Linked DNA regions of Daphnia pulex. The protein of the gene in region 2 interacts with the protein of the main gene of each other region in a biochemical or structural test. Links are inferred from orthologs where the notes say so. Each region holds a gene or a part of one and is shown on either strand. Other genes may lie near its edges. The genes, in order: complexin-like and synaptosomal-associated protein 25-like.

Region 1 (15,987 bases), on a different chromosome or scaffold from region 2:
AAATATTATTAGACTTTATCAGAGACAGGTCAGAACGGATTATTTATCAATTAACCATTCCAGTTTTTTTTTAAATGTATATAATGTTATTTCCTATTATGGGTAAATGCAGAATGCTAATTTTGAAGGGATAAAATAACATATAGGAAATATATCGACACTTAATAGTGTCATGTATTTCGAGTGACATTATTTACTATAGTAATTTCCTATGAAACGACTCGTTTTGAAACAATCAAATTGCATTGGCCACTCTTGGGTTTAGCCGTTAATTGCATGGACGGAGTTTCGAGTGGAGCCGACGGATCGGAGACGGAAAATCGGAGTCGACGCAGTAAATTGGCCAAAGAGACTTTCAGTTCCAGCATGGCGTACCTGTGTCCTGGAATAAATAGTTGCGCCATTTTATTTAGATTCCTTTTTTTTATTTCAAACGGAATCGAAAACTCACCGATGCAAATGCGGACGCCAGCGCTAAATGGAACGTAGGCGTACGGATGTCGGCCGATGCTGTTCTCCGGAAGGAATCGATCCGGCTTGAATGCATCCGGATCGGGATAAACTTCCGGATTTCGATGAGCAGAGTAAATGTTGAATATGACTGTTAGACCCTTTGGTAAGGTGTATCCTCCTATTTACGATAGATACGTTATAGATGAACTTTATAAATTTTAGTCAATTAAAAATTACGACCTGCTTGGACGTCTTCCGTTAAACGTCGTGAAATGAGCGGAAGGGACGGATACAATCTCAATGTTTCCTTGATGCAACACTCCAAATATTTGAGCCGAATCAAGTCCTGGGCCGTCACCGGCCGATCGGAATCGCCAAAAATCTGATCCAATTCTTCCGTTACCAATTTCTAAATGAAATCAATACGCACATATAAACAACGGAATATGTGATGCTGATATAATTATGTGAATTATTTGTTACCTGCTGCTCGGGGTGTTTGGCGATGAGATAAAGGAACCAAATTAAAGTCAAGGACGTTGTATCAAGCCCCTATTTTTCAAATAATCATTGAATATGTTAGTGAATAATATTTGAGAAATGTGAGACGATAATTATTGATACCGCCGACATGAATAGAAAAATTTCATTTCGAATCGCCTCGTCGTTAAGATCCGGATTAGCTTTGGCTGCTTGGAATAGCAGGTCCAGGAAAGCCAATCTCTTCTCTAAAAATGAGCTTTTGTTACTGTATATATTCTAATAAAATAATGTCAAATGAAATAAACATTTTTTACTTGGTCGGTTGTACTCGTCTTCTTCCTCGTTATTGTTGTTGGAAACAAGCGACTCGCACTGGCCGTTTTTCTTCTGCAGCTCACGGCGATTTTGAATGACCTGATGTAATAGTCAAAAGTGTACATTATTATATCCATCGGGATTAGAGAATGAAATATGACAATTGTCAATTACCTTGTCAATTAAGGACCTCGTGATGGAAATGCATCGCTTTTCCAGGCGGTAAAGTGGACTCAATTTAAAAATGAAATCGCTTCTGAGCCACGGCTGGTGGAAAGAGCGTTGCGTGTAGACGTGCTCCAATCTATGTCGGCAGTGTGTTAATGAATGCAAATTTCTGAAATTGTCGTTTGAAATAAAAGTATAGGGAGATAAAAATGATAACTTACCCTTCAAGGCCCTGGATGTAGTTGATCGTTTCCTCTTCGCTCCACGTTTTCCGTCCCATGGAAGTTTCTTTTAAAGTCAAAATAAAATTGATAGAAAATTAATCTCATTGCGCTTATACTATAATCTAAAGGGTTTCACTCATTACCAGAGAGAATATCTAAAGCCAGTTTAGACATGATTGGAAACAAGTCCATTTCTTGGTCTTGGACGGTTTCGACCATTTCTTCCAATTTGGTAGCGCAGTCGAGGCTCAAGTCGTTGAAAGTGCCAATGAACCCGTTGAGAATTTGAAAACTGAACGCGGGATTCAGCATGCGACGACGTTTTCGCCACGCGTCATCTGTGAGTGGTGGTGAACCCGAATTAAATAATCAAATAAAGCTAAATGAAAGCTAACTGAAATCAAATGAATACCTGTAAAGAGGACAAGGCTTTCACCGTGAAAGAGATATTCATATTCGTGTGGCCTACTAATCAGTTTAGGGTTCGATAAAATGGGCTACATTCGGGGGGAAACAAATGACTGTCAGTATAACGGAAATAGCTGCTAAATAATAACTGTGCTGAATAAACAAATAACCGCTTATTACTTCGAATAGTTCAGAGTGAGCCATGAAAACGGCCGGATAGTAACTGATCCAAATCCGGTAAATAGGCTCGTACTTCACATCTGAAAAAAAATCTCAATGTGAATTCATTCATCGTTTTGGAATTTATTAATGTTCACAACGACCGTTTTTATACCATCGAGAGAAAAATTCGCAAGGTGGAGGATGTTGCCCAGCAAAGGAAGTGGTTTCGGTCCGGGCAGTTCGTCAATGAGACGGACAAAGCGGGAACGACTCCACACCCAATAATAACCACCCAGCAATCCGGCCAGGGCCGTCGTCATGGCCAGTGACGATGAACTCCATCCAGCAGACCACGAAATGTCCCACATGTTATTCAAACAAAAGTTGAAGACCAACTGATAGCTACGCCAGCAATGTCGTCCATAAACCCAAAACTGAATCAACAACGAACAAAGTCTAAAGAGAAAACGAATCTAGATAGTAACTGTAAAGGAGAAAGAAATTCTTGTCTTGATTTCACAGTTTTCACAATAAGGGTTGGTTGGCCGATTTTGGCGTTTCATGGCATATAGAACTAGTGGCAAATGCTGTCGTTTCACTGACCTTTTTGGGGGTTTTTGCACATAAATAGGAATAAATAAATAGGTTATAAGAATCAGCAAGACGAACCGGTTAGAAAAACTGTTGTCCTAACAAATAATTTGACCAAACAATATAAGGTTTATTTGCGTTGCCAAAGTTGAAATGTTACAATGAACCAGCGTTGCCATTTTATAGGAATTGTGTTTTCCTTCTATAACTCAAAAGTGGCGAAAAATCTAAATATACTAAATATGCAAATATAATGCCATTATTTAAGAAAGGCCCAATCTTTTAGAAACAATGAGATTGAATTTGCCGCCCTTGGGTTTCAGCATGGCATGAATGGCCGGAGTTTGCAGTGGACCCGATGGATCAGAAAGAGAAAATTTCAACCTGCGCAATATGTTGGCCAGAGCAACTTTCATTTTCATCATGGCGTATTTCGGCGCTGTTCAATTCATAAAAGAAAAAGAAATTCGAATTGAACGAAATTCAAATCTCCCGCCAGCAGCAAGTTGTTTGAAACTCACCGATGCAATTACGGACGCCAGCGCTAAATGGAATGAAGACATACGGATGTCGATCGACGCTGTTCTCCGGTAGGAATCGTTCCGGTTTGAAAGAATCCGGATCGGGGAAAAATTCAGGATTGCGATGGGTGCCGTAAATGTTTACCAAAACTGTTAAATCCTTTGGCAAGGTATAGTCCCCTATATGATAAATTTTAGAAAAGATTTCGAATATGTACATATATGCGCAAGTGAAATCGTTGTGAAATTGATAGATTCAACACCAGCAGAGACATAATCGGATGGACGTCAATTTCTTGGCAGCCTGATGATGATGATGCCGTCCCGAGAATTATTAGTTCGATTTTCGCAACGCAGTCGAGGCTCAAGTCGTTGAAAATATCCACGAACCCGTTGAGATTTTGCAAGTGGAACGCCGGGTTGAGCATGCGACGGCGCTTTTTCCACGGCTTGCCTGCGCGCGGATATAATTTCAATAACGGGAATATTAAGCCAATAATATAACACATTATGGAGAGGTGAGATAATAAAGCATAATACAGTAAAAACGGCTTTCGCCGTTAAATCTCATTATACCCGTTAAGATGGGAAGGCTGTTTTCGGAAAAAGCAAAGAGGTATTCCCGTGGCCTCGTCACATATTTATTGCTGGATAAAATTGGCTAATAATTGAATCACAGGAAGAGCCAATCGGTGAGATGATAATACTTGAAACGTATCGAATTAACATTTAATGTGTGATGTTATATACTTTGCATAGCTCAGGATGAGCGATGAAAACCACTGGAAAGAAACGGCTGATCCACATCTTGTAAATTGGATGACGGTGGTTCATGCCCAGCAACATTTCTATACAGCATAAGGGAAACAATTGGAAACCGACACTGATGGCGTCATTTCGAATTGGACAGCGGAAATAACGCGGTACCATCAGCGCAGCAAGTTGTATTACTTACCATCGGGAGAGAATTTCAATAGGTGGAGGAGGTTGCCCAGCAAAGGAAGTGGATTCGGTCCGGGTAGAGCGTCAATGAGACGGACAAAGCGGGAACGACTCCACACCCAATAATATCCGCCTATCAATCCGGCTAGGGCCGTCATGGCTATAGGGATGTTGGACTCATCCATTTAGACCACGAAACGTCCAACATGTTATTCAAACGCTAGTCACAGATCAAACTAAACACAAAATGATGTGTCGGGAAGTGGAACTTGGTTTAGACACACGTAGCGCAAAACCTGCAAAACCTGATGAAGAGAAAATTGGCCGGAGAACTAGTTTGATTGTAACAGAAAAATACTTTGTTTTGCGCTTTCTAAAGTCCTATATCTAACAGTTGATTTCTTTCAAAGGTTCCAACAATTAGTTGACACATTATTGCTATCAAAAGTAATGTTATATTTATGTGATTAGAAAATGGAAGCCATCATCATCGTAATCAGTTGGCTATTCATCATCAGGAGTTGCTTGTTAACATTGCATAGTGCATCCTGCTGCTGTTGGTGACCTTGATTGTTAATAAGAAAATCCTTTGCTGGAATCCCGTTAATATAAAAGTCCAATGTGCTGCTGCCCAGCAGCACCAAATTACAAATTGATGCTGTTGCTGGCTATATCACAGCGCGCAGCAGCAGCACATACATCAAAGAAATAGCATATAATATAATATAGTTAGTTGATAAGCCCTATAATCCTCGATCAGTACATAGCTAATAAATGATCATAAATGTATGCTACGACAAAACAGAACTTTGAAATTATATACAAGTTCAATTAAGTCACACAAATTGTCCATGATTAGGCTCGCTTGCTCATTGTATATGTATACTATGAACTTAATATCTTTCATTCCCTCTTGGCTTCCAAGAGGGTACTGGGGGATGTTATTAGGGCGGGTTTTCAGACCATTTGCGGGTTTTGTGCAAATTTTTATTTGGACCTTGTCCGTCCAGGGTGGGCTTAATCAAATTGGTTAATTTGTTGAACAATTATATGTATACCAATAAAACAAATGGTATTAGATTTCAACTAAAACTTATTCCTTCAACTTATTCCTGTACCGCTTTTGAGTGGTTTGGATTCATTTATTTCAATAATTTATTTTTTAATAATTTATTTATCTTAATTAATTAATTTTGAGGGGGGGGGGGGGTTTGATTTTTTTTCATTTCTAATTTCTATCGATAACTTATTTCGTAAGCATGCTGATTAGAACAATTTTCGACAAGTGTCGTCTGCTCTCGCTGGGTTAAAATTTCGAAGAAGTCAGCAAAAAAGTTCAAAATTTTATGTTGTTATAGATTTATTTGTTTTGATGATAACCGTCATACTCTTTAGCAGGTAAATAAAACTAAAAATACAAATTCTAGAATGATTGTGGGAGCTACAGAAGAGACCTGTTCTAAATTTGTGAAATGTTACTTCCTAACGACTAGCATTTACCATGTGATTGCCCTTACGATGCATTGCAGTTTGTTTGTACTAAAAAACCTTTTTATTTTTTTCAGATTCGAGGCCAGAGTCAGCCGTCATAACCACTCAATATGCAAGTTTGGCTTGTGCTGGGATTGAGCAGCATGTCACCAGAAGTCTCATCGCTTGGGTAATGATTTTCATTACTTTTATTGACCTGTGACCTACTATAGATATTATAATGCTGCATTACCTGCATAAATGCAGTGTAAACCTTTCATTCTCCCATTTATCAACAATTAGGGTTTACCCAGTGTCTCATTTTCAACTTTTCCTTGTCGTTTTTCTGTCAATATTTTGTCGTAATCCATTTTCTATTTTTACACAGATAAACAGCATCCCTCTTGATTGGAGAAACTACCGATGTCGGCCGAGTTATGGATCTCCCTTCTTCACCTTTCTTTAAATGTCCTCGTGTACGCCCATGTGAATATGGATGTATTCACGAGGACACCCTTTTTACCCTATCCCGTCTGCTGGTGTAATTCAACTCTTCAGCGGCAGCAACTGTGGATGCCTGGCTGTATTTCCCAGGCATAAAGGTAGGACAAAATTGATCTCCATTCTTCCTTTTGGACAATTTTGGGTGGCGTTGATTATAAATCGTTACGTAGTCACGGAGTATTTCTGAGACGGAGTTTATTTCTGATGAGTTAGGCGGTTGACTGCAACTGTTTTCTCTCCCCGTTTTTTGTGTTTTTCCCAGTGAGGGTTTCTACTAAAATTCTCATTTGTCGAACGACTTCAGAACAGGCATGTTTTTGCACCTCATCACTTTTTCTTCAACTTTCACATTCGAAAATGTTTGAACTTGTTATCTATACGGTCTATGCTATGGGTCATTTATTAAACATTTAATCCAATTGCTGCTGCCATCGTCCGCTGTTAGAAAAAGGCGAATCCATGGCAATCATAATTCGATGTCCAGAACTATATTATTATTATACAGCGTACTATAATTCAACGCGAGCTTTTGTAATGCGAATTATCAGGTTCTTTATGCTGTGATGTTCTAGGATGAAAGAGACGGTAAATAGGACACAGGACGGTGAGTGCTTTAATATAGCGCCACAGGACTGCCTGCTGTGTTGCATGATGATCAGATGATGATTTCAGCTGCCTATATTATATAGACGATAGACTATTGTATTGTAATGATGGTCGGTGGGACATACATAGCGCAGAAGTTTGTTTTCTCTTTCAGAAATAAATGTTAAGCTGCTGATGGTCATGTTATAGGCAACTGTCGGATGCATTTGTAGGCATTTGTGTTAAAGGCTTATATATTTTTGATCCAATTCCATCATGTTTATTAGACTTATATTTCAGCTGCTGGGGGTATACAGTATGTTATACTACTGCGGTTCTTTTATATATGCGTTTGCCTTTATACATGTATGTATAGTACATTTGTGCTGGGTTTGATGGAAAAGGAAATGATGCTGCTCTTGCTGTCGCCCTCGCTTTTGATTTGCAACGTGACATTTTGACACGATTGAAATGGGGGTGGATGGCCACCGGCGTCTTCTATCATCGCGGGGGCTGTTGTCACATCTATATAATATTTCGTGTAAATGTGATGAAATAGCACTCAAGAATAACATTTTTTTTTATTGCCATTTTTACGTCTTATAAGGTCAAGATAAAACGATCAAAGGGATTTTTTTTTATGTAGGCCTATTATTAGATAACAGATTGGATATTATAAAAGAAATAGAAAAATGTCTTGTATACATTTTTCAACATTTGATTCTTTTTTTTTTATCGAGATTGCATTTCTATCGATCACCGAAACAAATTGCACAGCACAAGAAATTTGGAAATATTCAAAATAAATTGATGCGCCCTTTATATGTACCAGCAGGACTGATCGATGAAGCATATAGAGAAAAAGAAGGCAGAAAAAGAATATTATTATATAAAAATTTAAGCCTATATATAATAACGCCCCTCCATTTGAATTCGGTCGCATCAGTTTTATATTTAGACATTACATGTAAAAGATGTTTTTCGTTTTTCTTTTCTTTCGTGTAGAAATAAGACACAGCAGCAGCTGGAATAATTTTCAAATGGCACCAGATGTCACTCGTTTTTACACACAACACCGCTGTCTGTGTGCGTTATATATTCAAATGTAGGATAGTATATCCACACGTATATCCTTTTCTGTTTGGACCCCAAAAAAAAAGAGGAGAACGTGACACCAATCAGCTGATATAATAGACGTAGCACACAACATACGATCCCCAAAATAAAATATAATTGACATCATCTCAAATGTCTCGAATATTATCATAGGCCTATCTAAAAGTTAAAAAAACAAAATGATGTGAATCGAACTCATCTTTATATCGAATCAAATGAATGTCATTTGTATATTGTAGGCCTATAATAATATAAAAGAAAATATGCTACATAGGGGTGTCGAAGCGAATAATAATATCGTGAGTAGGACCTATATGCGGTCTCGGCTCTCCCAGCAGCATTTGATTACATTCAAAAAGAGTAGGAAAATAATAATAACATAAGGGTATATCAAATAAATGTACAACATGCTGTATATCTATAGAAATGGTGTTGAAATCTATATAGGAAACACGTTGGCGGTGGCGCTGTTTCCTGCACAGCAGCAGCAGCAGCAGCATGTGATGTGCATATGAGGACAGCACAGCAAGGGCAGATCAATATTTGAGAGTCCGGGGATCCCTTTATATATGCTGCTGCTGCTGTATATACGTCACAGCGCACAGGAAATATATTCGTGAGCGGCGGCGCCGGCGCTCGTGAAAATATCAGGCGCGCATCCTCCCATAACAACCCCCCATCCAAAACCACCCACCCATCATAGCGTTAGAGAGTCAAACTGCTGTGCTGGCCCCCCCAAGTTTCTTTTTTTTATTTTTCACGAAAAAATAAAATAAAAAAAATGTTGGTGGGTGGTGGCGAAGGATTTTTCTATATCAAACCCCCCACCACCCACTGGGTGATTTGAGAGAGAGATATAGGACTTGATAGACACACACAGGGGGCAGCACAGAGAAATTGCCATAGCCAAAAGTCTGGTCCTCGTTGTGGGTTATCTCCAGTGCAGTTTCGGATCTCGAGCCATCGACTTGTATATCCGCCCCGTTTTTTCTTATTCTATTAGACAAATAAATCGAATTCCCCCCCCCCCGTCATCAGTTTCTCAATAGTACACACACATCTCTCTCTCTCTTTTTCTCTTTCTCTCTGCAATTTCGGTAGTAGTTTTCTATCGTTCTTAATTCAAACATCACATTTTGTTGAATTCTATTCGTTATTAGACACAACATTCCAGATATCTCTGCTGCTGGCTGAAGGAATTTGCCAATCGATTGTTTATAGATCCAGCATATATATCTAGTGTGTGCTGTGTGCTGTCATAGTTTTCTCAAACCAAATTTTTAAGAGTCAATTTTAAGACAATTTTTCCTACATGTCGATTCACTGCCAATATTCCAGTTTCTTATTGTTGGGGGACGATTAATAAGTTTCAATGTTGGATGGGGCAAAAAGATTTGATTTGTATTATATAGCACATGTGCTATATAGATACTATTGCTGCTGCTGCTGCTGTGTATAATGTGCTGTGTGTAGTGCTGATGGTCGGTTGAGAGCTCAGATTCTCTCCTACTTTACTTAGAATATTCGTCACACGTCATTTTATATATCCGCGCGTTTCCTGGTCTTTTTGTTTTTCTCGATTGTAACTTTCTCTTTTCTCTCTCGTTTTTTTCTGTCCTCTTTTTTTGATTGATTTAGTTTTTTCCATATTCCTTTCTTCTTCTTTTCCTTCCTATATCTTCTTCCTCCTCCCGCCCCTCATCCTTCCTTCAGTGCGTGCGACCAATCCAAACATTATTGGCTCCTGTGGAATTCCTTTTGATTCGAATCAACCCAACTAAAAAAGGTAAGACAATCAACGCTAAGAAACTCATCATTTTGATGTTATTTATACGTGTCTAGATGTAGAAACCGGAAGTGGAAATAGTGTTGAAAGTGCGCCGGTAGATGTCGCAAGTGTGAACCAATCGGCATTTTAAAAAAAGAACCGGAAATGTCATAATAATAAGAATCGTAATAATACTCGAAAAGATGCTGTTTAGCTGTTTATTTTTGTATGTAAATTTGCCGGTAGACAGAATGCGGCAAGTTTGGCATTTTGTCTTTATGCTGCTATGTGCTGATGACCTAGAGTTATTTTTGGGTTCTTTTGCTGATGTGAAAGAGAAATAAGACAGTGCACTTTAACGGCGTCTCTCTCTCACCACTAATTCAATATACGAAAGTCTATACAGTTCATATTGAGCTCGGTTCTATAATGCAAGTGCAACGTGCACTATACAGCGGAGAGCGTGTCGGAACTTGACCTGCGCCGGCCTAGACTATATATAGAATGAACTTATATATGTATAGTCTAACTTATAGGTACGTCTATATTAGTGTATAATACACAATGCCCCCCAGCACGGTGCTGCATGGTTCTCTTTGGCTGGAGATGCGTGATGTCTGCACTGATGGCATCTAATCCAATTAGTTTAGACATCAATAGATATTATTTAGAAAGAAGCATGTGATGGAGCACGGCGACATTTCCAGCAGACTCTAATATAATACAAATAAGAATATCATCAATTATATTAATGTTGTTAGACCAGCAGTCTGATGGTCATGAAAGCTGCTGGACAGCAGCGGCCTGATGATCAATCTATTGACAATGTAATAATAGCTGGACAATTTTCCCATCATATATATAGGGCCTACAAAGGATCGATATTGCTTCTCAACCGACAAAGTGTTGGCCCCTATATAACATTTGAAATGTAGTTAGTCTAAACCTTAAATGTACTATATATCACGATATATATGGCCGGAGGGAGCGACTCTCTCGGCTGCTGCTGAGCGCGTGCACACGAACTCTGGATCTCTCACGTATCTTATATATTCCCACCAGCAGCTACAGCAGCTATATAGCAGTTCTACATATATACGAGACGATCAATGTTATACATAGCACGCGGTATACTATGTACAAAGTCTCCCCCGTGTCCTTGATCATCTATATAACATGGAGAAAAGGAGAATCACGCAATGTTCGTTTTTTCTCAACGATTCCCGTTCAATTGCTACACTGATGCTGCTGTATTATATGTGTATAGCCTATAATACTATATCCTATAGACTTGAGTGTGTAATATCCTAACAGTTGATCACGCGATATGTGGCTCCTTAATATCCTTATCAAAGTTAGAAGTTAAAAGGTAGAAAATCTAGAAACTTTAAAGGAATAGATATAAGCCGGATGTGCTATATATAATATGCTTGATATATATATATACAGCTCTGGTATACGGCGGTATTGATTCTTTCGGTGCTGCTGCTGGGCTGCCTCAATCCTCAGCAGGAGCCGGAACACAAGCAGGAAATGTCTGTGCTGGGCTGCCTACCCCCTTTTTCCTTTTCTTTTTTTGACAGCTTCTTTATATAATACGAGCTGTATTATAAGAGATGAGAGACACGGCGCTAATCAAATCATAAGGAATGCTGCTGCATTTCTAGATATTATTTATTATATAAGGCCAATATTAAATATCTAAATATTCGATTTTCTTTTTTTAGCACGTTTTTGTGTATCCCAGTAGACGTGTGTAATATTATATGCATCCACTTTAGAGTTATTTAGAGACTGAGATTGAGTTATGCGCGTGTAAATAAAATGGCTGCTGCTATGTCTGATTGAATTGATCTATTGTTTATGCAATCATTTTCTCTTATTCTTATTTTGTGTACACACAGGAGTCTTTGATTGGATATATAAATACAAGGAGGATCGACGTCGTTGGTTGTGTGCTGTGCTGCTGCCTGAATCTCCCACTGCTCAGTTGATTCAATATAAATACCAATCATCATGGCGGCTTTCGTTGCGAAACAAATGCTGGGCAGCAAAATGAACGCCGTTAAAGGTATTTATAAATATATTAATCATTATAGTTATTACTATTTTCCTATATAAACTGTGTAGGCCTATTTATCTATTACGCATATTATAGTCGTGATTTATTTCTATTCACAAGAAACGTTCAACATGGAAAACAACATTTAACAACATAAAACGTGATAGCCTACAGGCAGGAAATGCCTGCAGCCATATCAAAATGGCTCTACGTTTTATTTTAAACTTTGTTCTCAATATAACACATCACGATGTTATACATCTCCTTAACCTATAAATAGGTCTACATATATTTCTTATATACTATGATGTATAAAGCCTATATATCCGATGATGTATATAACTTATTTATCAAAGTTGATCGGTCATCTATATGCAATTTCATGCATTTACTACTATTATGATGATAAGGTCTGGGAGGCAACGACAGCGAGGACGGCGACACCAAAGACAAGGACGACGAGGCCGAGCGTGAGCGATTGGAGGCCATCAAGGAAGCCGAGGATCGCCGCAAGGAGAAGCACCGCAAAATGGAAGTGGAACGTGAGAACATGAGACAGGATATCCGCGACAAGGTAAATATATCTCTCAACAATATCACACTATATTTTATCACATCAAAAGGGACGCAGTTAGAGGGCCTATATTTATTATTATGTAATATGTACAACAGCGCAGTGCAGCAGAGCCAAACGCGTGCAAACATTTATTTAAATCTATACACAAAATAAATAGTATCGCCCTGATGTCTCTCTGATGTACAGAAAGAAAAGGAAAAGAAAAAGTTATATTAGAATATTTATATATATCTAATATAAAATAGTAAATAAATATTTATATAGCTAGATTGTGTGTAGACTGACGAGAATAGAGCGTGACGTGAACATGTGCATCGTTTTTAGATTTTGATCTGAGACACAAGTTTTGTTCGGTGCTGTGGCGTGACACAGAAACAAAAAAGTTTCTTGCTGATGTGTGTGTCCTATATCGATCATTTCAGATATATATAGGATAATATTATGTATTAAATGCGGCCGGGATTAAATCCAAAAATTCCATTCCGATCAATTTACATAGCCTACAGACAGCACATGTATGAAAAGGATCTATAAATCCCCAAAGCACCAGTATATATATAATATGTCATGGTTTTGTGTCCATTGTCCAGCACAGTTCAAATCAAAACTTTTGAGACATAATAGGCAAAGACCCATTAGTTCATTTGGCATCAGCAAACGATACAATAGAGAAATAGATATAGTACACATATACTTCAAGAGCTATTGTTTCTTTTCGCGGCCACCATTATACATGTATATCAAAAGCCTTGCTTGCTGCTGCTGCACATTGCGAGAAGCCACCAGGACAAATCTCCAAAGTCACTAACGTGAAAAAAAAAGGAAAGTTTCAAATGTCTAAGCGACAACAGCAGCAGCAGAGCCCACAGCCAAATATATAAAAGTCTGCGATAATATAAAAGTCGTCATCCCCCCACCCCTATAGCAGCAAAGAAAAGCTTTGATCTCGTGGGGTGCAAATCACTTTTTATACACAGAAAAGTCGTCGTCGTCGTCGTCGACTCTTCTTCTTCGTCTGGGAATAATAATAAGAAAAAAAGAAATCCCTTTGAAAATCCTTGTGATGTTGTGTGGGGGGGATCAAGGGGAGATGACAGCAGCAGCAGCGCGTCCTATAAAGAATAGAAACTTTTCGACATCTCCACACACACACATAGTCTAGGAATTTCTTGCTTATGTATGCTATAGTCGGCTATAGCTGGCTGGGGGTCTTATATATGACTATCAAATTTTTAATTCCATCAGACGAGCTGCTGCTGCTCTTTTGTGTGTCACTCTGTGAGACTGGTGGCAGAGTTCCAAGATGATTTCAACTTAAATCCCCCCACCCTTCTTTTTCTGCTGGCAGAAGAAGAAGAAGAAGCTGGACAGCAGCTATAAAGCCAAAAAAGGGAATATAAACAAGGAGAGCTAGATAGCCACAGAAAGAAAAAGAAAATGGCCAGCAAAAGAGATATATATCTCTGCTGCTTTAGCTGGAAACGAGACGCGGAAGAAGAGCGTTCCGGTCCGTTGCAGCTGAGATATATAGCACACACGAGCGAAGGGGAGAGAGAGAGAACAGCACATATATACTATATATCTTGGGATAGATAAAACTGGGCAGCAGCAGCAGAGCTATATAATATCGATCGCCGCTTAGATATATATATATACAGTAGGAGCAGATAAATGTATATAATACAGTTAAATAAATACATTTTGGTTCGTTAAACACAATGTGTATATAGTATATATATATATAAGGATTTGGACAGCAAAGAAAACAAAAGGCTCGAAATGTTCCAATAAAAAAGAACACACACAGCAGCAGCAGCCTCCATAAAGTGCTTCTATTATATCCTGCTGTGTGCTGTGCATTGCCCTAGATATAGCCTACTTAAACTTAACCAAAATATCATATAATCCATTTTGGGGCTATGTAGAGGGTGCTAGAGAAGGAGATGACAAGCAAAAGTTAAGAAAGAATCCATATTTTTCCCACACACACACACAACTTTCTTCTGTGTATAAATGCCGTGTAAACCAGCCAGAAAGCCGGGCACCGCCCATATATATTGCTGCTGCCCAGCAGCGAGACGAGGGGGATCGATAATTCCTCGGTCGTCGCTTGTGTTCAATCGATTTATCACTGTGCAATAGCCCTCCCAGCTCACATAATACAATGGGGGAGTTCCCACAGCATATAAGCAGCAGCAGCAGGCTAAATCGTCTTCAGTTCAATTGGGATGTCCTTGTATATAAACTTTTGTTTCAGCACAGCCGCGGCCAGATATAAGGAAAAAATAAAAAGACTTTTATTTTTCTTATTGGTTGATGATTGTATAGACATATAAAATATAACGCTGGCTGTTGCTGCTGCTGCTGCTGGATCGATGAGTAGTATGTAGTCGGCCATGACTGTGATGGTGCTGCTGGGGGATCAATGCGTGTCTCGACGTGAATTGTGTTTTATTTTTTCCCTTCTTTGTTTTATTGTTTACAACTATTAGCCGTCTGGAACGTCTTTTAGAGAGTTGTTTAGATGTTTGACCGCAGGCGATTGATTATTGCCGATGGCGTTTTACCCGCAGGCCAGCAGCAGCACTCTATTCGCTCGGTTATAATTGGCTATACTGCTGGACCTATATAATAATATAGCGCCAGTCTTTTAAAATGCCTTATATATTATATCGAAATGTGATTCGATTATATTCTATTATTATTGTTACATTGTTGGGCAGTACAATATCAAGAAAAAGGAAGAAGCTCCTGAAGCCGAGACTCAAAAGGAGCCGGACAATCCGCTGATGCGCAAGAAGAAGACGCCCGAGGAATTGGCCAAAGAAGCCGAAGAAGCCGACCAGGACGAATTGACAAGTATAATATTTAATAAATAATACATTGAACTCTTTTTTTATTTATTATAAATGAATTTAATTTTAATTTTTAATTATAAAATAATTTATCGATTGATGAAAATCTAAATTTTTCGTAGAATTGAAAAACACGTTGGAGACCCAGGTGAACGAGTGGAAGTCGCAGATCGAGAGCAAGTGCGTCATTCAGTGAGGAATAAAAAGCCCCACCGACTCTACACACACCACATGTAACTTCCTCCTCTTATGATATAAAACATTCAAATGATGGGAAATTGATGCCCCCCAATCAGCCCCAAAGAAATAACAAAAAATAATTTCCATCCCACCCAAAAAAACAAACAAAATATCGAACTTCATCTATAGCAGAGACGAGGGATAACTCTTATATCCAAAAATATTTTAATCGACACACACAAGATACTACAGCAGATTATATTCCAAAGGTGTGTCATTTTTTTACAATTGAATTTGGGTGGGTAGGCGATTCCTCCAGCGAAGCAACGACGAGCTAAACTATGCAAAAACATTAAAAATAAAAAGGGCAAACAAAAATAAAACCAAAACAATTTTGGGGCGTCAAACAAAAAATTAAAAAAATTTTTTTTTTTAATTCAATATACCAACCAAAAAAATTTCTTTTTATACACACGTGAAAAAAAAAATTCCCAAAAATTTCCCATTCCCCCAAAAAGTATTCCATCTCGAGTGAGAAAAAAAACAATTAAAACCCACAAAAAAAATAATTTTTTTTAATTAAAAGAAAAATGAATTAGTTAA
Region 2 (16,122 bases):
TTGTTTTAGTCGTAAAGGGTTTATTTATGAAGTGTAAAATGTGGTGGGAATTCTAAAAAAAGCCTACGCTTATTATCTTGTTCCACCATAGTGTTTGCCGCGATTTTTTTTTTGTTCGATTTTTTATCTTTCGAAATAGGTGATGAGGGAAATGACAGGCTTTTGAAAACAAATTTAAAGTTGAAATCTCTTTCGTAATGGTAGGCTTAACTACTTAAGTATATCATTTCCGCGTAAAGGAAGTGTTTTGGGTTGTTTGCATCTGAAAATACTTGTTTATTTGTGTGTGTGTGTGTGTGTGGTTGGGGGGAGTTGTTTGTTCGACGGTTTACCATTGAGTGGTGACGCCAAGTCAAGTTTCTTTGCTTTAACTTCTTGCAGCCACTAAAACTCTAAACCCTATTTCCATCAATACTAAAACCATTTCTGAAGTTTGACCGATTGTTTGTCCATTCTATTGTCCGACGCGTTGACGCTCTTCACCGTCCCTCAAAGTATTTATATCTCGCTCAACACTGATTCCTAATGTTGACATTATCTCATTCGTACCATATTGACAAGTCAGACATCTGTTTATCAAGTTCTAACTCTTAAAAAAAAGACGAGTGCACTTTGCAATCTTTGAAGACTAATAATCAACTTCTTCAACACATCTCGTCGATGATGGTTAGTGTTTAACTTTCAGGCCATCCATTCTCGAGCTTCACGGATCGTCTTTGATTCTAGCATTATTTGTTTTTTAGTTTTCTAAAAGGATAACGGTGCTGAAAGATCGATGAGTAACGTTGTGTGATACTTTGGAGGTTATCGGCGTCACATGCACAAGTAAAACCCCTCACGCAATGTGCCTTGTACCTTTTTGTTTGACTAGGTCGTCTCTTGAATTTTTAATGACAGTTTACTTTTGTTTTCTCTGAGTAAGAGAAGTGGGTTGATCTGGATCATCCATTCGTTGGACCTACTGCAAACGAATAGCGTAAAGCAATAACAGAGAGAAGGAGAAGGGAGAAGGCTGGGCTTTTTTCTATTGATCCAGATTGTACACTACCCGGCTTTCGGGCGGCTGCTCCTCCTTCCAGCTGACGCCATTCTTTTTTTCTTTTGCAATCTTTTCTTGTTTTTTTTTTCTTTTTTTTGGTTCATGCATAACTCGATCGTCATGGGTTTCAGTACTTGCCTCCCACGGCCTAGCACATCTGCGTGATTAAAATTATCGTTTGCGTGCGAACCCAACTCTTCCGAAAAAAGAGACGACGGCCAGAAACGCAAATGAGATTTCAAAAATATAATAATATAGATTTTTTTTGTGTGTATAAGTTAACAAAACCCGATTACCTCGGAAGCCGCCTAGAGGTAGACGGGTGTGTCAGTCAAAAGACTTAAAACGACTTTGCCTGTCAATAGGCAAATTTTAAAGAAGAACCTATTCTATGAGATGATGACGTTGGTCCCGCCTCTGCCCCTTTTTTTTCTTCTTTTTCCCTTTGAAAATTGGCGTTGTTGTATGCGAGGCAGAGATTACACCACTAGTGACGCGTGTCGCTCACCGGATGAGAGACTACACATAGTGCCGATAGCGGTTCTTCGAAAAGTTTTTTTTTTCCCCCTATTGAACTTGTTTTACTCCGGGAAGCAATTACCAAGTACGTTTTGTTCCTCCAATTTACTTTTGAACAATTGTTGTAAGGAGAGAGTTGGCCAGCTTGCGAGCTGGAGCTGGAAGGTATCACGAGTTAAAATGCTGGATAATGACACTGTCTGTCTAGAGAGCAGTGGTTTGTTGTACGGATGGGCAGAACCCCTTCAAAAATTAACCAGCGAAAAATTCTCGTTTGCCGGGGTTCTTTGACTCTGCTGTGCTCCGTTTTACTTGTTCTTTTGATGTTAGATTGTCTCATTCTTCCGTCTCGATGGTGGATTTATTTCGATTGTCGTCGTCACGGTTCTTGATCAGATGGATCCGGTCCAGCAAAGCTTATCGGTGGTACGGGTGTCCCTGCTCGTCGTCGCCAGTCGTAACGTTTGGCTAGTCAGCCACTAGACTGCGTTGTTGTGCCGGGTCGGGACCGTAGAACCGCCGAAACTGAATCGAATGTTGTCTGACTGTGCGTGTGTTGGGCCACAAGACAACGACAGAGAGAGAGAGTGAGAGAGAGAGAGACCGCAGTGGGTGGAGACTGGGTTCGGGATAGATGCGGACGACCTTCATGTAGACGCCACCCGATGCCAAAGAAGGATGAACCAAACGGGATCACTGAAAATCAATAGTAGCAGCAGCCCCCATTGCCCACACCGACCCCCTCCTCCCTCTTCACTCTCCCGCGTGAACCAACCGTGGCTGTCCTCCCGTTCGCGCATCACCCGTTACTAAAGTGGAGATCGAGCCAACTCGCAACAAAAATCACTTAGTTGTTGGGATTTTGGGGTTTCACTTTTTCTTTCTTCTTTCCCTGTAGTGTGTGCCGACATTAGTGACAACTCTTGTCGCTAGATGGTGTGAGCCACCGAATGTCTTTTCTATCGACGCCGTGCACATTTGTAACACAAATACGTAGCAAAACATACTTGCGAAAGTAGGAAGTAACCTGTGCTTGCAGTATTGATCTATAACGGCGCCATGCTGCCGTACATGGATTTTTCAACCCGATGCTTATTGTTATCGCTAGGTGGCCTTTTGTAGCGCCACATTTTCTTGTTTTGATTTTTCTTTTCCGCTCCGTCCGTCTCTTATTGTTCCCAACGTCTCGGTCTGTCACCAATAGGAAGCGGCGAGTAATGGTGGGTCCATCTTAACATGTTGCTGACCCATAACATTTGACCATCCCGTAGCGATAAAGAAACCTGCCTGTCTACAAGTCCATTAGAATCTCTACTGTTGGATCTGTGTGGCTGAAATAGCCATAACCTGGCAATAACATAGATGTAAGAAATGCGGTAATTGTATTGAAGATACAAGGAAGACATAAGATCAAGTTCCCTTTTGACCTGATCAACTCTTGTAGCATTTGTCGTCGGCCACAAGCGAATGTCACCATGTCAGCTCACTGTTTCATCGTTGGTTATTTCCGACCCGATCGAACCGAGAGCCTGCGGACGCAGACTGGAGCTCGATGGATTAATCAAATCGCCCATTTTTTTGTCTGAGAAAGAAGAGCAGGATTGGGGGGGGGGGGGGATATGGTAGACCACTTGCTTTGATGCGACAGAGTTGAAGTGTGTCTCAGTGTCGCAGTGATTATGTTGAGAGCATCATAACTATAGTCGAATTCCCGTTTTACGTCATCTCTTATTATTCTACTATTTAACGTACGAATTTCTCGCTTCTCGTTACAGGTGACTAACTCAAAAAGGAAGCGAAGATGGCGGCCGCAGTGGAAAATGGTGGTGCTCCCAAGACGGAATTGCAGGAATTGCAGATGAAATCAAACCAAGTCACCGATGAGGTAAGCCTGTCAACTCCATTCTCTAGATGAGGGCAGACGATCGTTTCACTTTCAGCCAGCCAAGTTTTCGTACGTCTAGTTCTTAACGATTGCCGTTTGACATCGGATAGCACTCGTGTCTCCGACATCCGAGAGGCGAGTGTGTGCCTGATATGTCAGGTCTGTTGATGTCGACAAGTCAACGCCATGCCCAGTTGCTGCTGGAATAGGTTAACTCGCAAATATTGACGGAAAAGTACTGAATAAAGGCTGGCCGTAACGGTATATATATTGCCAATGTCAGCAAATCAAATCCATTTATTGGAGTGAGTCAAGCCAAGAATGGAGTCTAGTTTGATGGGCTGTATGTTTTGATGTCTGAAGGCAGGGCGAAAAATGTTGCGAAATGCCCTTTTTTTATTTTTTTTATTTTGGTATTCATAAAACTGGGCCAGCCAATGTGGAAATGTCGCTGCTGCTGCGTAAAGGTGGAACTAATTCGTTGTTGGTACTTGGGGATGTTTGAGAATCTAACAGACTGAGCGCACGAGACCGTAGTTCGAAATTCGATAACTGCGTCAAACCGGATGCGCGCGGGCGCTTTGTGTGCGGCGCTGCCCCAGCGTTTTTGATCATCAAAGTCTTGTGCCTGCCCGAGCGGGCCGTTTTCGCCTCCCAGTCGCTTACCGCTTCTACTTGGTCCTCACGTCATTGTTGTGCGCGTGAACGGGCTCAACTTGATGCAACCGCGCCGCTTTACTTGACGAACACCCAGCTCTGCTCAGCTCTGCTCAGCTCTGCTCAGCTCTGCGTTTTCCATTGCATCTCGACAGATCGACCGAGCCGTTGCGAGTTGCTGTTGGTCCGCTTCCGGGAGACGGGACCGCATTTCCGGCATCTTTCATTCAGCATCTTCACAATCGCGTCAATTAGTTTAGCCCGGACCTCATTCCCGCCCGCACTCGCCCAGCCGGCCGGAGAGGAAGAGCCTCGTCGAGAACAATTTGAAGGAAGAGAAAGTCACACGGAGCGGAACACTTTTGGCGTGTGTGCGAATTATTCGTCTGCAAAGGGCGACGGAAACGGACTAGCGGTGTCATCGGACAGGTGCGCCGTTACAGAGCAGCCTGTTTCCGCCGTCCCGATCGATCCGCTCATCCCGGGTTTTTCTTTTTTTTTTCTCCCCCACTCCCCACTGGCAGAAAGCACTCTGAGCTGACCAAAAGCGGTGCTGTTTCGTTTTTCTCACCCGAGTCTCCGTCTCGACCTCCCAGTTGTCTCATCTGTAAAGCCGAAATTTGTGTCGTGACACCTGCGTTTTTTCCTTGGAACCGCCGACGACCCGAGATTTCGATTGCCCGCCATCCAGCCGAGTAACGTCTGACCCTCTTTTTGTTTGTTTTCAACGCTGTCTGTGTCAACGTATCGATCGTGAAAAACAGTAAGCAAAACAGAAAGTGAAAGTGGCGAGAAAAGTTGCTCTCCCCCTCTCCTTGTAAACTCGCTCATTGACGGACTCGCTCGATTGTCACGTATTTTTTCGACGACCGTGACGTACGTGCTCTGTCACTTCTTCTTCTTCTTCTCCTCCTCTACACCCACAGTCAACAACGGCCCCAATGTCTTCTTCATTAGTCTCTTTCTGCTGCGTCTCAGTCTTCGATCAGGTGGCAACTTATTTTCGGCGACGCTGTTGAACGATCGCTGGTGGCTGTGCTCGACCAATCTCCACATCTCTCCATTTCTTCCCGTCTCCTTTTTTGGGGTGATTGTAACCGGTCCTTTTTTGCCGTCGGACCTCCTTCCCAAGGGCAGCAACCGGAGCTTCCGACAAATCCACCACCAGCACCTAGATCAATCGTGAAACTCCATCGTCCCGGTTGGCTTCTAATTCCAGCCGAGAGCCAATAGACGACGTAACGGCGTCGCACACCCTCATCCGAACATTTGAAATCGAATCTTCCAATTGCACATCATTTACTCTCATCATATCCTATTGCATTTCTTGAGTGGTTGTTTGTTTGCCGGAAGAGATCGTTGTCGTGCCTTTTTCAGTCTATTTGAACTGGTGAAAGCATTGTGGAAGTGGAGAAACGCCGAACTACCTGGAAGTCGGATAACCCTGGAGTTCGTCAAATCTGCCCACAGGGATTGCGCGCGTTGGCTGACGTTACTTCCAACTCTCCCCCCCCCCCTTTCTCCAGTGGTTTTGTTGATGTAATTAGCGTCGCCCAAGTGCCCGTTCCTTGGCCTTTCTTTCGTTTCTTTCTTCCAACATTCATCTGACGTGTGCGCTTCTTTTATCTCTCGATCATCGGAGAGAGAGAGAGAGAGAGAGTCCCGACCGCCGTCCTATCTGTGCGTGTCGCACTCGTCTGTCGATATTTATGATGGCTATCCTCCGCGCCGAATAAGAAACTACAAGTCAAACTGGACTGCACGAGTGCTCCGACATTTTCCCCAAGTTGATAGTTTGGTCGCGTGCCGGACGTCACCGTTTCACTACAACGGACGTTTCCTGCCCTTATTTCGATTCCCAGTACTTTTTTCTTTCTTTCTCTCTCTCTTTTTCATATCCGTTCGTTGCGCGGCTCGGCGTTTTCTTCTCCGTCGTCCGACAGGAAAAGGAAGATTTTCCGAAAGTAAGAGAAAGATAGCAAGCTCGTGAGGAGTGTCGAGAAGTGGCGGAGCCTTAAGTCTGAATTTCCCCAATCGGAATGCACAACTGACGACGATTTGTGCCAAATCGACGCCAAAGGCAAAGATCGGAAATCCCGTGTGACTACCAATTTCCCAGGCCTTTTTACAAATGGTCGTCTAGAGGTGCCTGTCGTCGCCGCCGCCCGTAGGTATGGATCGCGTTACCATGGGAAACGATGACTCCGCCGACTACGTCACTGGTATCGGTATGTTAGCTGACTGCCGTCATGCACCTTCCACCATGCAACTCGTTCACTGAAATAGATACAACCAACAACCAACTACTTGAACTCCAGGAGGTAACCCAACCGCCGACATTCTATCGTGGTGGGGAGAAACAAACAAGTAAGCCGTCGCCAAAGCTATTGGGAGGCAAAGAGACGAGATAATCGTATCGTCGTCGGAGAACTTGAGCGTGTGTGTGTGTGTGTGTGTGCTGCTGCTGCTGCTGTTTATTGCGTTGTGTTCACGTCCAACCATTGTGCAATCATGGGGATCGAAACGGCGCCAGGTAACAAGAGTAAAGGCTCTTCGACGGCGGCTGCTACTGGACCCAACTCGGGCAAGAACCCACCGGCCAACCCTCCAGTTCGCCAGTTTGCCAATCAACTCCAACAAGATATCGAAGATGTTACCGTAGAGGTGAATATATCATGTATACGACCCGCTCCTCACCCAAAAAAACGAATACAACAATAAATATCATAGTTTGATACAGAGTAAGAAATGGCAGGACATTCTTCGTGCGCAATAGCGAGATTCAAGTCGATGTGTCACATAGTCTCTACTTACACGTCGGTTGGTGTCATAAGGTGACAGACAATCCATCAGTCCGTGTTAGGCGTTTTTTATTCAAAAGGTCCGAGAAAGGCTTTCAATGCTTTCAGCGGATACTTGAGCACGGAACTGAAAGAGAGATGGATAAACGCCACCGAGGCAACTGGATAGGGGGGCAGTTACAGAGAGACATATTTAGCGTCGTGCTAATCATCAGCTGTGCCCATTCGCTGCAGAAAAGATGCCGAACAGATAGAGAAACATGCAGCTGTGGACGAGTTTGTGTGTCGAAAACCCGCCTCTTAGCGTCATTTGCCAGGTTGCTGCCCCTTTTCCATTTTTAGAACACCTTCTTCTTTCTTCTTCTTCTTCTTCTTCTTGGTCTTGTTGTGACTCGGCCGGACGGCCGGAATAACCTTGTGCCGATCATCAAAGGCGCCGGTGTAGCGACGATAACGGCGCGAGACGAAAGATGCGCATGGGCAAGCACGTCAGAATGTCGCCGTCGCTGAGGCTTGTTGGCTTCCCGCGGTCTGTTTCGTCATTGTCAGAAAGAAAAGAAGAAAAAAAAAAATAGTCTTGCCCGGCAACCCCTCAGACTTCAATGAACTGGCGTTGCCAGGATACTAAAAGCAATCCACTCTCTCTCTTTCTCTCTCTGGGAACACGTGAAATTCATTCTGCGGTTGCTTTAACACGTTTTTTTTCTCTCTCTCCCTTGTCGGGTCTTATTGTCTGTACCTAAAACGCGAAATGACGCCGAGCCGGTCTTCTCCTACCTCCCATCATCATCTTGTTTTCGCTGCACGTAAAGACTCCTAATCTGGTCTTGGGCTGTTGGCCTACTCTCGAGGCCGACGCCCTTCTCCTTTATTAATCTATATTCATGAATGTACCGTCGTTTCCTACACGGTACACAACCGACGACGCCCACGTTTCTCACCGACGTTCTTTCATATTTTCTTAATCGTCGCTTGAATTTTCGGGCGACTTTCATGCAGTCAACAGCCGAGCAGCAACCGTGGGGTCATTGTCCGATTCCTTCAGATCTCCATTTTCGTTTTTTTTTTTCTTTTTAAAACAGCATTATTTGGTTATTTCGAGCTATCCTTAGTCACGTCAGAATGAAGTATGTGCATATAAATATTCTGGTCTGGAAGCTGGTGGAATGATTATTCGATTCCTCAGCTTCTTCTCTTGAATTATTTCGAAATATCGCTCTGACCTTTTCCTGTTGACCCCAATTCGCCTGCCAGATCAAGTTTTCTAGCTCAAATGTTTCCCGGCAAAAATTCAATTACAGTGCACTCGAATAAATAAATGGCTTGATTCCTATTTAATCTGTGGAAAGTGAAACTATCGTCTGCCTTTTATATTTTCTTTATTTTTCATTTATTTTATTTTTTTCATTTTTAGTAGGTCACACAGTGTACTGTATACAAGATCAGTTTAATTAAATTTTCTTTTTCTTAATCTTTTTCAAGTCATTGGAGAGTACTCGCCGGATGATGCTGCTCTGCGAAGAGGTAAGACCGAAGTTATTGACTTAATATATTTGCGTCGCACACGAGTTTATATGAGACATGTGCGAATGGATGGGTGTGGTAAGTCTAGTGTTTTCTTCGCTAGAAGAAAATATAAAGTTTTCAACCCAAGATGAGTAATTCCTTCTTAGCTAAGCTAAAGTTCACAGGGTAAACCAAGCAGAGTGATGTGCGGGATTGTAATCGTCGTTTTTTTCGCACAGCGCTGCGCTCTTATTGATTTTCACAACTCGTATTGTGCCTGTGCGTTGTAGTGGTTTGGTATTCACGTAACGCAAACATCCTCCGCATCGAGCTAAAACATTGGACTTGGAACTATTCTCATAATTTACGAATAACAAAAGCTCAGTCGCCATTGAATACGCAAACTCTGGTTTCTAATTTTAATCCAATATACGCCCATCCGACTCGCTAGTTATAACTTTATAAGTCAATCAGTGTGCACTAATTTGCACAGCAACAGGCGACACTATGTCAGACACGTAGGAGGTCTTGGGCGATGTTGGGTTTTCTTATTGTCTAGAATCCGTGTGTTTTTTTTTTCTTTCTGAACTTTGGTGGCGATCTTCTATCAACGGTACGTGTCGCCATTGTTTTTTGTTGTTTTTTTTATAGAGCAAAGAGGCCGGCATTCGGACACTTGTGGCGTTGGATGACCAAGGAGGTACATTGATGTGCAACAAACACAATATTTATTGGTTTCAACAACATTCTTTATTGTCGTCTAAATGTCAATACTGCCTCCTTATCACTTTTCATATACCGATTTGGTCGTGATTTATTAGCCGTCGCTTTCAAACAACGCCAGTTCTTTTTTTTTTTTTTTTGAACTGTTGTTTAGCTGTACATTAATCGCTTGAAAGAGTCTCTTCGTGCATGAAAGAATTGATTCTGATTTGCTGATCTCTCTTATTTTTTTCGTATGGATGTAGAGGAAATCCTATTAAATTGTTAGACGCTAGCAGATGGGACTGTTAGTAATAGTTCCATTTTATCATCCGGGATGCTTCTATTTTGTTGGAATGAAGTTTAAAAGAAAATCTCCGAGACGAGGTGTCCAATCCAGAAAATTAATCAAAACAACTTCAGTACTTGATTATTCAAACAAAAGCCAGGATGTGGTGAAACAATCAACTTGAAATTATTTAAAGATTATCTTCGATATTTTTGTTTCTTTATCATTTTTAAAAAGGTTGTATTTTTGGATCATTTTTGGCTTAATTTAAAAAACGCAATGCCTGATTGGGTGCCAATTTTAAATTTCCCGCTCTTTCCTTCAACATCGCGTAGTTTATTTACACTATACTCACTAGAATAAGCAGCTGTCTTTTTAATTTATTTTTTTCTCCAAAATTGTTTAGTATATTTGTGTTGATATTATTTTCCTTTTTTTTCCATAGAGTTTCACTATCGTTTTCGTTGAGCTCGTTATTTGGGTTTTGCTTGTATTTTTCGGTTTCACTTTTCTAGTTTTTTGAGTTTTTTTTTATTTTCTTATTTTGTTTTACTGTAGAGCCAAGATGTTGGTGCCAAGACTCTTGAGAATTTGCACGGACAAGGCGGTAAGACTTGTTTTTATTTTCAGTTTCTCGTGTTGCATTTGAATTGCTTTGAGCAACTTGAAATCTCGGTGATCCTCAATGCTGGAAACTTGCTAATTGGTGATTTCATCTGTAATTTGCTTGCTGTAATTTGAACTCTCGGATCACTTATGGAGCTTGTCGTTTCTTGCCTATATCAGTCTTAACCGCTCCGAGAGATTCTCCACTTTGTTACCTAGCACCTCGTCTGATTCATAATTACAGCACAACTGCCAGTGCCATTCGACAATCTTTGCTCTCAATGATTTTTTGTTCATAGTCATCTTTATTCATTTTTATTTCCTTTTTCGTTCACGATCTTGCTTCATGTTTCTTGATATGAGGCCGGTCCCAATCGTTGATATAGACACATGTTATTGATTCGATGGTAATTCAAGATGTCTTAATAAATAAATACAGAGCAACTGGATCGCATTGAAGAGGGCATGGACCAAATCAATGCCGACATGAAAGAAGCCGAGAGTAATCTAGCGGGCATGGAGAAATGTTGCGGACTCTGCGTCCTACCCTGCAACAAGTGAGTACCTTGTTTGTTTGTTTTCTTTCCTCTCATTTTTCATTTTCAAGTGAAGCGAGCCGTTTGAGCAGGAACTGATTTCTCTAATAATCAGGACGAAAACTTGTTGAATTTAAAAATATCGATGATTGTTATTTATTTATTCCATCTTTTCTCAGATCGTCGCAATTCAAGGAAGACGAAGGAACGTGGAAAGGCAACGACGATGGCAAAATAGTCAACAACCAGCCAACCAGAGTTATGGATGACCGCAACGGAGTCGGTCCAGCAGGCGGTTACATTGCCAAGTAAGACGCGTCGACCCACACGCCTCAAAGTCCGCCACTCGAGTGGCTTCGACGGCGATTGCGAATAGAATTGTCGTCGTCTTGTTACATTGTGCGATTTCGTTTTCTCTCTTTAACAGGATCAGCAAGGACGCCCGAGAAGGTGAAATGGAAGAGAATATGACCCAAGTGAGCACGATGATCGGCAATTTGCGCAACATGGCCATCGACATGGGCTCAGAAATTGAGAACCAGAACAGGCAATTGGATCGAATCAACGCCAAGGTAATTAGGCTAATTGTGATGCGCCATGCACGTGCTGTCGTGTGGGACTCGTTCAGTGTCTACCGTGGTGGATGATCTTTTGATTATTGAATTATTGAAATGTTGGTGATTTGTGTGGAAAACGTTTTTGTACAGGGAAATTCAAACGTCACTCACGTCACGGAAGCAAGCCAGCTTGCTGACAAATTGCTGAAATAAGCTCCAATTGACGAGATGAATATGTGCAGTACGGACAATAAGCACATTTGACATTTTTATCCCTGCCTTTTTGTTGTTTTCCTCATTTCGTTGTCGGCTTTGCTGTTTGATTTTATGGTTGATTCATTTTTTCCTGGTGAGGGGAGGGAGGGTGTGGTTGGGTTTTTGCGTATTATTCGTCGCGCTTTTGAAACGCTCTCTGTCAGAATATCTGACTATTTAGACATGTCCTTAGCCATTTATTGCCTAATAATCGCGTTTCCGCCAGAAAAATGAAACCATTTTAGAGCTGCAGTTGTTAGAGCGGCAATAGACGTAATTACTATTGATTGTTAATATTCTCTTTCTTCTTCTCATTTACAGGGTGAATCTAACGAGAACAGGATAGGTGTCGCCAACCAGCGCGCTGGACAATTACTAAAGAAGGCCTAAATGAAATTGAATGGATTGGCAAAATAAACTTTAAAAAAAAAAAAACCAAACAAAAAAATGGAAGAAACAAAAAAACAAAACCAAACAGAAAACCGTCTTTATCTGTCTGTCGGTGCAGGAAGGAAAAATGTGGATTAAGACTGAAGGATATTCGACTGTGTTTGTTTCACTTTTTCAAAAAATGTCACAATTTTTTTCTTTCTTTTATTCGTGCATGTCGTTTCGGCGACAAAACTTAAGTTGCGTGCTTGACAACTTCTTTACTACTCCCGTTCTCTAGCTCTCGATTTCTTCTCGAATTTTTTGTCCACATTGCTGCAATAACGCTTCCGACCACGAATTTTTCAGAAATCAAAAATCATCACAATAATTCACCCACCCACCCCCACCCCTTTCCCTTTCCTTCCCCTCTAAAAAAGAAAAGCAACTCTTCACTTGTGAACCCCGTCGTAGCGGTTTCGTATTTCGTTTTTTCTCCATATGGTGTCTGCCATTTAAGTTATCTCATTTCTCTTTTTTTTTTTTAACATGTACAGTTCATGTTCCTGTGCTTTTGTATTTTCTTGTGGCTGTACAACAGATGCTTCTTTTTTGCTGTGGTTAATTTTTTTTTTTTCTCTCCCCCCTTTCTCGTTATTACTTTGGGTTTTTCTTTCTTATTCTTCTCGTACTCGTTCGCTTCTCCTCCAACCGATTCAATGGATCCAAAAGTCCGTTTGACTTGATACATTTGACTTTGGATTTCTTTGGTTCACAAGTGCGTCCATCGCTTTATACCTTCCTATTTTTTCAACATTTTCAACAATGGAATGCGACTGTAGGGAACTCGATTTTTCTTGCATTCACTTCCTTTTTGATTTATTCTCTCCTTTTGATTTTATACCGGAATTGCATTTACTTTGCGCCATCCCCTGAAACTCGCTCTCTGGTTGGACGCACAATCCTTCGAAATGCATAGAAAGAAGAAGAAGAAAAATAACAAGTCTGGTCCATCACAATTTGCTGCCGTGTCCATGATTGGCAGGGGAAAAGTGGGTCCGATAGTCGTAATAACTTTGCAAAAAAAAAAAAAAAAGTCAGTGAACGCAAAATTGCAAAATCCTATGTGTGCAAAGCGAGAGAGGGGGCGGGGTCTGAGTTGGCGTTTGAGGAGTTTCGTTTTATTTTGTTCGTTGTGATAATTGAAAAAAAGAAGTAATAAGTTACACGTGAATGACTTTACGTTGAGTCGTCTGCATTGCGTTCGTTATTCATTACATCGAAATTTGGGAATCGTTATGTGGTAAATAAAAAAAAATAAGAACCGAATAAAAATTATTAAAAAAAAAACCAAAACAAAACAAAGAAGAACAATGGGAAGTTTCATCCAGTTGGATGTGGTCTTGCTATCGCTGAGATTTCTGGTCGGCTGTTTTCATCTCTTCATACATATATAGTCTCTTTTTCCTATAGTCTGTTTTTTTGAATTGCGTGTCTCATTTATATCCATTTATACTTGTGTCTAGATGTTGACTATAGTTCATCTAGAATATCTTTTAGCCACTACAAAACCGACAAAATCATATTATCGCTCTATTCTTACTCCCCTCGCCATACCCTCTCTACCATTTGGCAACCATTCTATCCACACTTCAATATCGTAATGTTTGTTCTTTCTCTTGAGATATTACTTCAAGATATGAGTGACGGTAATGGTATTCCTCCACGCTGTTTGTATTTTACTGGTTACAATACACATTTAGACCTTATATACCACGGATTGATCGCTGCAAGCAAAGAAATGTCGACCGTGCCTACCCCTTTCATTTATTCCCATGAATGTTTAGATATTATTTCGTCACCGTATCAATTACGCGTCAGCTGCCTTCACTGGCGTCTGTTGAGACCATCATCAGCTGCCGCTTTTGATTCTCTGTTTGACGACTATCGTCCCGCTGGAAATATTTCCTACTAGTCACACAGCGTGTTTGTGCGCTGCTTATGATCGCTCACACATCACGTTCCTGATGTTAGTCTCTCCGGCAATAACGATGAACGAATCATATGTCGAAGCGTACAAGGAAACTGTGATCCAACAGCATTAGGCGTTATCGTTCATTAATTTCCGAATCATTTCTATAGTGGACAAGCTTTCTTTCTGAGTTATTGGGAAACTAAATATAGCCCACCAGAGTGCGCAGTAGAACACTGCCGATGTGGCGGATATTATATAGTTGCCACCTGACAAAGGCCGAGCCGAGCGAGCAGCTAGCACTCTGCTAGCAGCCTCCGATATCGTGGAGAGAGCCCGTTTCTTTATTATTACGTCGTAAGCGCTATGGCTGCTTGGCTGATGGCAAAACCGCTAAATAGCCAAACCCCTACCGACCTTGACGTGTATAATATTCAAATGTGTTAGGAGGATCTCAAATGACCCTTAAATGTTCGTTTTGACTTGCTTTTCGCCTTTTCGGAAGATTCAGATGCCGACGCTGTGAGCCACTGTTGCTTTAGGTGTCTCGTTATTCTGAAGAATGGCGTTGATGTATATTCCGTAGGTTTTTCTTTTTCTTTTCCGACCGCAGGAAACTGGCTGCTGCTGGACTGGGCTGGGCTGCTGCTGCGGAACTCGGCCAGGACGGAACTCGGGGCCAACTTCCAGCCCCAGCGCAGCTAGCTCAGCCAGCGCAGCCAGCAACGAGCGGCCTGGAATCTTCAGCATCTGGATCTCGGAATCTCAACTATATACCGTCAAACAGCTATATAGCCAGCCATGCCATGCTGGGGGGAAAGTCAACGAGGGGGAGGCGGAAGAATGTTAGTCACTAGTCATTGGAAGTAAATTTCTTACCATACCACAGCAGCGGCGGCACGGCGAAGTTGGTGACAGAACCAATTGTCGGTATTTTCTAACCGTTCCCGCGCATGTTGAATCGCTCAGTGTCGCCATTCATTCGGTAATGTGTCATTTCCATTCCCTCATGAATATAGTGGACTACCGGCTACCGGCTACCCTTTTCGACGGCCGCCGACATCAACTTTTCCTCCCGACGCCTCTATGCGCTCGTCTCCAAGAGTCCAAGGGAAAACTTGAAACTTGGGTGTACATTTGAATGTTTCATCAAGGTGCCCCACCTTGAATAGGGCTCTAGGCTAGCATTATACAACGCAACGCTCAACATCGCTCTAATATTCAATGTATTTCAAACTGTGAAAAACTGTGTAGTACAACAGAAGAAAAAGAATAAGGAAAAAACATTTTCAAATGCCGCGGCCTGCAATAGGTGAAATGATGTCGTCTGAAATTTTCCCGTCGCCGCTTTCCGAATCGTGTCCGAGCAATAATTTCCACGCATAAGTTTGAGATTTGGCCGTCGGAGAGCTGACTAATACTCGACCACTCGTGCTGCACCTGTGTTTCCTTCGGTGTGGGGGGGCTGGTACTATATGGACACCAACAACCCTCTCTCCCGACCCCACCGGCTTCATCATCACCCAAACTGTAGCGAACAACTTGAAATTGCGTCAGCATGCCATTAAATGGACCGCCAGTCTAATATATAAAGAGTCGGAAATGGGTCCGTGAGAGAATTGGAGTTGACCGGCGGGCATAAATGCCATCAATGAACTTTTGAATGCACAAAAAGAGAGAAAATGGAGGGAATTCTAATGGACCGCCACCCTTGTCTCTCAATTTATAATGAATCATGAATCATGAACATTGAACTGATTTCGGAAAATGGGTCGAACCTTAACTAGTTTCCGTTCAATCTTCCGCTTCATAAAGTCCGATACATAATGTGCTAATCAGTTTTGTGGCTTTTTCAATACTTTACAACAATTATTATTTTGCGTTCGGATATTTCACGTGTTGTTTTCATTTCCGAATATTTTTCTCTAGAGTTGGCATGTAGCTATTTTATCTGTTCACAATTGATTGCTGCGCGTGCAATGATTTCAACTGTTATGGCTGAACTTAGTTGTCTGTACAACCCTGGATACAGTTAGCGTATATTCACTGATTGGAAAGGGGGATAGTTCGCTTTAAAAGTCAGAGCGTGAAATGGAAAGGCTTTCTTTCCATGCGTGACGCTTTCTCTGTGACATTTGTCGTGTCTCTCTGTCCTTCCATTCCACGAACAGCTTATCCAAACCTTGGTCATCAAATACACCTACACTCTCACTTTAGGGACTTAACAAAATAAAAACAATTTTACTGATTTTACTTTTTGAATGTTTTCTGCTGGGACAAATTGTTTCAATACGAAAGAGCTTTGTATAGCTATACCCACGGTACGGTATACAAGATAGTCACATAGTATTATAGTAACAGCCAATCCGTCGAATCTACTTTTTCTACAGCAAAACGGATTCACGTTAACAACCTTAAATATCGGAGAA

What was found.
Region 1: the proteins of synaptosomal-associated protein 25-like (region 2) and complexin-like are reported together in a solved structure, tested with the Homo sapiens proteins (2 studies listed by BioGRID, with this or other methods). The link is inferred for Daphnia pulex from reciprocal best matches to the Homo sapiens genes SNAP25 and CPLX1.

The regions. Positions count from the first base shown.
Region 1 is NC_060023.1:9,963,606-9,979,592, reverse strand, and holds the start of complexin-like, read left to right. Parts: upstream 1-8,882; 5' UTR 8,883-9,039; exon of another isoform or gene 9,040-9,580; 5' UTR 9,581-9,728; intron 9,729-11,612; exon of another isoform or gene 11,613-11,614; 5' UTR 11,615-11,726; coding exon 11,727-11,781; intron 11,782-12,182; coding exon 12,183-12,346; intron 12,347-15,072; coding exon 15,073-15,208; intron 15,209-15,326; coding exon 15,327-15,400; 3' UTR 15,401-15,987. Other genes in the region: cytochrome P450 4c3-like, read right to left, coding at 210-382, 452-631, 694-862, 937-1,005, 1,078-1,181, 1,251-1,350, 1,426-1,555, 1,641-1,707 and 4 more; cytochrome P450 4c3-like, read right to left, coding at 3,520-3,779, 3,902-3,986, 4,076-4,173, 4,281-4,452. UniProt on the Homo sapiens protein: Positively regulates a late step in exocytosis of various cytoplasmic vesicles, such as synaptic vesicles and other secretory vesicles.
Region 2 is NC_060020.1:8,647,988-8,664,109, forward strand, and holds synaptosomal-associated protein 25-like, read left to right. Parts: upstream 1-4,596; 5' UTR 4,597-6,611; coding exon 6,612-6,764; intron 6,765-8,383; coding exon 8,384-8,425; intron 8,426-9,058; coding exon 9,059-9,107; intron 9,108-9,956; coding exon of another isoform or gene 9,957-10,005; intron 10,006-10,443; coding exon 10,444-10,561; intron 10,562-10,719; coding exon 10,720-10,848; intron 10,849-10,967; coding exon 10,968-11,112; intron 11,113-11,247; coding exon of another isoform or gene 11,248-11,310; exon of another isoform or gene 11,311-11,673; coding exon 11,674-11,742; 3' UTR 11,743-13,490; downstream 13,491-16,122.